2 linked regions of the Daphnia pulex genome follow. The protein of the gene in region 1 purifies or fractionates together with the protein of each later gene. This does not show direct contact. Links are inferred from orthologs where the notes say so. Each region holds a gene or a part of one and is shown on either strand. Other genes may lie near its edges. The genes, in order: COP9 signalosome complex subunit 8-like and DDB1- and CUL4-associated factor 1-like.

The links.
Region 2: the proteins of COP9 signalosome complex subunit 8-like (region 1) and DDB1- and CUL4-associated factor 1-like purify together in Homo sapiens (affinity purification with mass spectrometry; 4 studies listed by BioGRID and IntAct, counting the BioPlex papers as one, with this or other methods). This does not show direct contact. The link is inferred for Daphnia pulex from reciprocal best matches to the Homo sapiens genes COPS8 and DCAF1.

Annotation. Positions count from the first base shown.
Region 1 is NC_060017.1:2,513,566-2,516,741, reverse strand, and holds COP9 signalosome complex subunit 8-like, read left to right. Parts: upstream 1-1,676; 5' UTR 1,677-1,822; coding exon 1,823-1,885; intron 1,886-1,949; coding exon 1,950-2,020; intron 2,021-2,087; coding exon 2,088-2,302; intron 2,303-2,368; coding exon 2,369-2,604; 3' UTR 2,605-2,667; downstream 2,668-3,176. Other genes in the region: zinc finger protein 724-like, read right to left, coding at 3,019-3,156. UniProt on the Homo sapiens protein: Component of the COP9 signalosome complex (CSN), a complex involved in various cellular and developmental processes.
Region 2 is NC_060022.1:4,447,048-4,451,349, forward strand, and holds the start of DDB1- and CUL4-associated factor 1-like, read left to right. Parts: upstream 1-1,498; 5' UTR 1,499-1,627; intron 1,628-1,804; 5' UTR 1,805-1,813; coding exon 1,814-1,926; intron 1,927-1,991; coding exon 1,992-2,139; intron 2,140-2,214; coding exon 2,215-2,893; intron 2,894-2,966; coding exon 2,967-3,895; intron 3,896-3,957; coding exon 3,958-4,206; intron 4,207-4,268; coding exon 4,269-4,302. Other genes in the region: mRNA export factor GLE1-like, read right to left, coding at 1-295, 356-571, 635-798, 889-1,096. UniProt on the Homo sapiens protein: Acts both as a substrate recognition component of E3 ubiquitin-protein ligase complexes and as an atypical serine/threonine-protein kinase, playing key roles in various processes such as cell cycle, telomerase regulation and histone modification.

The sequences.
Region 1 (3,176 bases):
AAAATTTGTTGATTGTAACATCACAAAATACACACATCTCCGACGTGGTGATGTATACATAAGAATTCGAAATATTTTTTTTAAAGGAAGATTGCACGCGCTTATGCAATTCTTTTATTACTTCATTATTTACACTCATTAATAAAACACGCGTCTCTTGGCAAAGGTCTGGGTTGCTTCTGTGCGTTAGTCATTTTGTTATTTATACTCTATCTTTCATCGAGCAAGAGGGGAGAAAATAAGAATTTCGAATTTTTATAGTGCCAAGTGACGTGAGTAAGAAGAGGCTTCTGATTTTCAAATCGAAAATAAAATAAATTTGCATAAAACGAAAAATGTTTCTCGTTTCATCGTAGGTTTAAAATAAGGAAACGTATGTTATTTGGAGAGGAAAATGGGGGGGCTTTGTATTCCTTCCGCAAGTGTGTAAACTCTTTTTTCTTCTTCTTCCTACTTTTGTGGTTCTATTCTGTTCTTGTTTTAACCGCGAACCATATGCAAAGAAACAGACACGGGGGCCCCAATTCCCATGAGAGACTTTGAAATGTTAAAATATTCCGGCATGTTGTTCAGAAGAAAATTCTAACCAAGGACACCATTTATTCTTTCTCCACCCAAACCCCCAACTCGAGTAAAATGAAAAGCCATTAAAAAATGTTGATCTTACCGGTTAAAGATGACTATCCCAGATGGGAATCATGTTTATCTTAAAGACACGTGTAAAGTTGGAACAAAATAAAAACGAAGATAATCGCCACGAGTTGTGCACACACACACACACTAACGACACATGTTTCACAGCGTTTTCATCTGTTGGCAGAAGGGAGTAGACGAATAATAAACATTTGGCTCTACAACTTGTATTTTCAGCAGTGACTAAAGAGGTATATCCTCGCACGTGAAGTTCAAGAATGTGTCTGAGCTGGGACGGCCTTCCCGTCGTCCTTAACTATATCCCAACACATTTGTATATAACGGGGAGAGACTGGATTCCCCTCGGGCTAGACTTTTGAGAATTCCCATTGGTTGTAGCACATCCCCTCCCATAAAAGAACGGCGGGAACCTGTGATGAAACAGACTGCCGCCTACTAACGTCAGTCTGACGAACTAAAAGCAAGAGAAAATCAAAATAGGAAAACCCTTTCTCAACCGCCGCCACATTTCTGCGTTAAGATTTACCAATCATTAACTTTTTTACTTGTGAAACAATTACTTGACACTTCAAGGTTGTTTGAATAAATTATCTTCGAGAAAATAAAGCCAAAAATTGCTCGATAAGGACATTAATCTTCTTCCGGAGAAAAGTCGAATTCTTTCCTCATTTTTAGGAAATTTAAAGTAAAGAGTAAAGACGCTTGGATTTGTTTCTTGTTCATAAAATTTTGTAACCTTTTATAGTTGGCCACGGTCCCTACAAAGAACCGAAAAAAAAGAGGTATTTATATGTTTTTACTATGTAGCTTTAAAACCAGTTCCCTTTATAGGGCACACATTTTCAGAAGGTTTTCCATATTTATATTATATTGCATAAGTTTGACACGAGGAAATCTCATTCATCGCCCTCATAATTTTTTTTTATTTGTTAATTTCTCCATTTGACCATTTCTCGAAAATATACTGTCCCCTGGTGTCGATGATTGTTACTTCTTGCTTCGATCGTGGCAGACGACAAAGCATTATAAAAACCAAAAACAGTCTAATTAATTGCACACTGTTGGCTTGTAGGTACGGCCAAAATACTGAAGGTTGGCTGTAACTTGAACTTGATTTAAACAATCGTCGACAAATTTCATAAAATACGTCCTGGTTTCAAAAGGGGAAATGTCGTCTAAAGTTGTTTTATTTGAAAGTACCACCCAAGAACTGGAGAAGCAGGAACTCGAGGTACTGTTGTCGTTTTGTTGACGAAAACTTGGAACAATTAATTGCAATGATGTCTTTCCTTCAGGGTGCGAGCGGATTGGTTTTAGCAGATTTGCATAGTCAGTTACTCAGTATATATCTGTGTAATTTTGACTTGTAAGTATATTAGTTACATTGTAATGACTGGTGCTAATAATCAAGAGTTTTTCTTACGCTGATGTAGATGCAATGCTAAATTTCTTTGGAAACGAATCTCAAATGAAGAGAAAACTGCATTCCCCTTACTTGGCCAAATCTGGGAGGTAGGTCAAAAACTATGGTTAAAAGAGCACAATTCAGTGTTCAGCCTTCTCAGAAACACAAGTTGGCCTCCATCAATCGAACCTTACATGACCTGTCTGGAAGAAAATCTTCGGCAAAAATCAATTCAACTCATAGGTATATAGTTCAAGAACATCCTGAAAGAAATTTTCAATGAAAATGAAATGTGTTTATTATTTTTAGGGAAAGCTTATCTGTCCATAACTTCAACCACCTTCACTGAATTGGTTGGTTATGTTGATTATCCAGAGAATGCGGAAAAATTACTCGCGAAGCTACAGGAAGAGCAAGGTTGGACGTGTGATTCTGCTTCCAAATTAATCATACCTAAGCGACAAGCCGCCCAAAACGTTCCGTTGATGCGGAATGAAGAGCAATTGCAGAGTCTTACCCAATTCGTCTCGTTCTTGGAAAATTAAATCAACTGAATACGTTACTTATGTTTATACCCAAGAAAATAAACTTGATCGATGAAACGGAAATTATTTTACATATTATTTGCATACTATTCAATTGATAGCAACCAACACAGCTCAAAAAATTAAATTAGGAACTTTGACCCCAGGATCACTCGGACTCGGCAACGAATTTCAACTCTCAACATAATGAGAAAATACCACGTGATATTTTGTTTCCCGGTTGTATTTTCACTGCTGTTCTGTGTCATGGTACAACATCTGTACAAGGGGCAACGGTTGAATAGGAAGAGAAGCTCAAAAGTTCTATGCAAAGATAATCTTCAGAATCAGAGAGGGAATGACAGATCCCACAATTAATAAGCGATTCAATTCGCGAAGAAAAATTACTAGGGCGCTTGTCATCGTGTCAATAGATCACTTAGTCTGAGAATTAGGGAACACAGACCACACATACAAGGTATTAGTATTAGGATCCCTCATAGTCACTGCACCTAGACCGTCGGTTTCTTGAATAAGTTCGTCCTCATTGATCAGCTGGAGTTGCTGAACTTCCTGCATAACAAAAAACAACC
Region 2 (4,302 bases), on another chromosome or scaffold:
GTTGTTTTTTGTCGGGAGGTGTGCCTCGATGGGTTGCAGGGGAATGGTCTGCCGCAGCAGCAGTAGCTGAACCTCCGCTGTCCGCAGCTGTTATCAATTTCTGGAGATCTTGTGTTTTTCGTTCTCGATCTTTCTTGCGGGCTTCGATTTTCCTCAATTCTTGGAGTAGATTAGCTTCTTCCTCGACTTGTTCTGACGTACGTTCGAATAGCCTCTTTAACTGCTCTTTACGACGTTTTTCATTGTCGGCATCGTAAGCAATATTCTTTGGCTCTGGTCCTGTTGTATGCCTTGCCTTAAAAAAAAATATACAGTTATTTTTTTACTAGGTAACACAGACACAAATATCCTTTACCTTGTTTAATATGTTGCAGATATCATAATATCTCTCCTTCAAGTCTTCGATTGACCTTTTTGAGAATCGTGTACTATCCCAGCGGTCCTGAATAACGGTGAAACGAAGATCAAATTGCCGACAGAGGTCAAACAAATGATCTGTTTCTTGCTTTGTCCAATTATCAAGTTGTAGTAATTGATATTCTTGATCAGTGTAAGAAAATATATGGACTTGCTAAAAAAAAATATTTTTATATAAAAGAAATTTTCAAATCAATTAAAAAAGATGGAAATCAACCTTGTTAAATTTAGCAAATGGATACTCTTTCCCTTCATCTGCAGCTCTACGCCAATGGTGAAATACAGCTCCATCTTTCCGTGCTGGGTTAGTAAAGGGCATCCACTTCCAAGGTCTCACTTTACGGACACCTAAATGAGCTTTTGCTTGCTTGTATCCTTTACCTGATTGGAAATATTTATGAAATCTTTGGCATACAAATATTTCTTTCCCTTACTGGAAGCACACAAATTGCAGACAGACAAAGTTGTTACCTGTGTCAGTTGGAAATAGAGGAGCTGCATCTTTACTATCATTGACCAAAAGATTGAAAAGTTCTCGTGCCATTCCCTCAGGTTTACGTAAAACTTCATTTTTAGGTTTGTATTTAGGTTTCGGTTTTTGCGTTCCCATAATACTTTCTTTCGTCACTTCTGGAGTTCCCGGTCTCCCTAGCTCCAAGATATCCAAAACATCAGCCATTTTTACTTTATTCCTCTTATGCCCGACGTTTTGATCCGACACGTGTCAACACTTACGACAAGAATGTGAGTAACTTTCAAAGTTCAAACCACAAAATATTTGAAGAAAATGTCACATAACAATCGTAAAAAAAAAACGTCCACAAAGATTCACAAAAAGGACGACAAAAGCAGACACAGTTTTTTAAGCACGCTAGGTAACCATAAGAAAAGCTATTGTTGTCAAGTTTATTGAAAAATCCAATTGTGAGAAATATCATTCAATTTGTAATATGAAAATTTGCTAGAAATTTTAAAAATATTTTAGCTATAATTTTATCATTTAAATCTGTATTCTGGAGGTCTAACTTCCTCAAACAAGCAAACAATGGAATTCGCAAGAATTTTCCAAAATATTAATCTGACAACGTTTTTTTCTCAAGTCTGCACATAGAAATTACACAGAACGTGGTGCACACTTCTGCAGCAATTTCAAAGAAACTTAATTTTAATAAGGGAAGTTGTAGTTTCAGATAGACGTAACAGTTCGAAGGTGAGTTTTTGTTGTTTATAATGCAATAGTTTTTTTTTAACTTATGGTGAAGATTTGTGACCCATTGAAGTTATTCTACTCGTGTTGTGAAATTGTGATTGGGTTCCAAAAACGTCCTTTTGTGTTTCATTTTGGCGTCGATAAGTTTCAGCTAATTTGTTCTTATTTACATTTAAGTCATCCAGTATGGCGAACGACACCGTAAATCTGACTGAAATGTCAGATGTCAGTGCTATTTTGAGGTTATTTGAGGAACATCATGTAGCACCAACATTTGATCCTGTTCCCTATCTTTCTAGGTATGTGTTATTTGTTTTTTTGCAAGATTTTTTTTTTCTTAATCATGTTAATTTTTGTTTTCAAGACTGGCTGAACTTTTGGAAACAGAAACAGAAAATTACCTAAAAATGGATCCAGATCCTTTTGATGATCGTAACCCTTCTAGGAATCCAAATTGCAGCTTTGGACACATGCTTAAAATAATATTCAAGAAGGAAATTTTTATGCAAAAAGTATTATTTTCATTTACTTGGCCTTGATCTTCATTCTAAATATAAATGCTATTTTTTCATTTTTCTTAATATTAGTTAGTTGGAGACTATTTACGTGACACTTACTGGACCAGATTAGGCATTTCTACCAGAGATTCAAGGGAACTCAATACAGCTGCAGCTCGTCTTGTTCTAGATTTAATGCCAGGCTTAGAAGTATCTGTGGTGTTTCAAGACACAGAAGGATTGATCAACAGACTTTTTAGTTGGGCAGAAAAAGGTCCAGAACCACTTCAAAGCTACGCTACTGGTTTGCTAGCTGCTGCGATGGAACTACAAGACTTGGCTGCTAACTTTCGTGAGTTAAACGCTCATCTAGCACCGTTAATGTTGAAAAGGTTATGGGAAATCCAAAAGAGATGTGCCGAAGAAAAGAAAAATGACGAACTCGGAAAAATCAAAAGATTTTCAAAATTTTCAAGCGACCAACCGAGTACCTCGAGCAAAACCCCAAAGAATACGGCGAGTAGTAAGAGTCGAGCATCTTCCAGTTCAAAGGTCCCAAAGGATGAAGATGCTGAATTAATGCCTGGACCAGAACCGGCCGATGGAGCCTCCGATAAAGGAAAATTGCCAAAGAATAACAAAGCAAAGAAATTTCAAGGCAGGATTAAAGGTTCCAAAGAGAGAAAAAGTGGAAATGCATCTCTGAATGGATCAGCTATGAATGATTCTAGCAACTCGTCTTGGGCCGAAATGGAATCATACGTCATCGGTAAAAGATTATTCTCCATGCAACAAGTGTGTCTGTAAAGTTAAAAAACTAACACTTCTTACTTTATTTATAGGAACGTATCAAATGCATCCATTGACGGACTCAACTCGGCAAATCTTAATCTTGCGATATTTAACACCCATGGGTGAATATCAAGAGTTACTAGTTCACATGTTCGAGCAAAAGGCGCTCGACCTTATTCTTAACTACATCGACTTTGACGAGACCCAAGATTCGCGTTTATCGTTCGAAGCACTTAAATATCTCGGAGCACTGCTTTGTCACAAAAAATTTGCCATCGAGTTTATTCATCATCAGGGATTGCATCGCTTACTTGAAATTCCACGGCCGAGCATTGCTGCAACTGGAGTTGCCATGTGTCTTTATTACATTGCGTATTGCGAAGATGCCATGGAGCGAGTCTGTCTCTTACCAGATCACGTCATTCAAGAGCTAGTCCGATATGCTCTTTGGCTACTGGAGTGTTCGCACGAATCTGGACGTTGTCACGCTACCATGTTCTTTGGGACATCGTTTCAGTTCCGCATTATTTTGGAACAGTTTGACGCCCAGGATGGTCTTCGCCGGTTGTACAATATGATCAGCACTTTGTCAATACTTTCAATGGAAGATGCAAGTGATTTGTTGGATGATGACGAATCTCATGCTGCACGCCAAACCGTTCGACACGTCTGTGCGGCGCTAAAACGATACTTTGAAATTCATCTGGCTGGGAAAGTTGAACATCTTCAACGGATCAGAGTTCGTGAAATGGGTGGTTCTCCCCATCCGTCAACACCTCCCTACAAAGCAATCAAGCTTAATGCAGATCAAATTATCGATCTAATCACCACTGCTCAAGAACTGCTTCCGTTTCGGGCAAGTTGGTCACCCGTCAATGAATTTGTTAGCCTCGGGGGTATCCCTCTGCTTCTACAAGTTATTGCAATATCCTACCTATGGAATTTTACCGGACGTGCCGAGACTGTTCGCAGCGCTTTGGTAAAGAAATTAAATATATTCTTAAAGTTAAATTATTAAATATATTTTATTTTATTTTGCAGGATGTTTTAGCCGTTTGTTCTGTTTCTTTCAGAGTTCAGATGCTATTTTGTGATCGTATTCAAATTCCGGATGACGCCAATGCTGTAGGCATTAATATTCTACTTGGAGCAGCTGAAGGAGACATTGTAGCTGACCCCGAAGTTCAGCGTGCCGCTCTTTGCGTACTCATTCACTGCGTTTGTGCTCCCGTCCATCGAGTTGGAGGTTCTGTCGGTAGATTTAATGGCAGTGCCAAAAGACGCAGCGTGGTAATTTCAATGATATTTTCTTATTGTAGAATTTATGTATTTACGCATTGTGCTTTGTATAGGCTAGTCGAACGAGCGAAGAGGTTCTCAACCAAG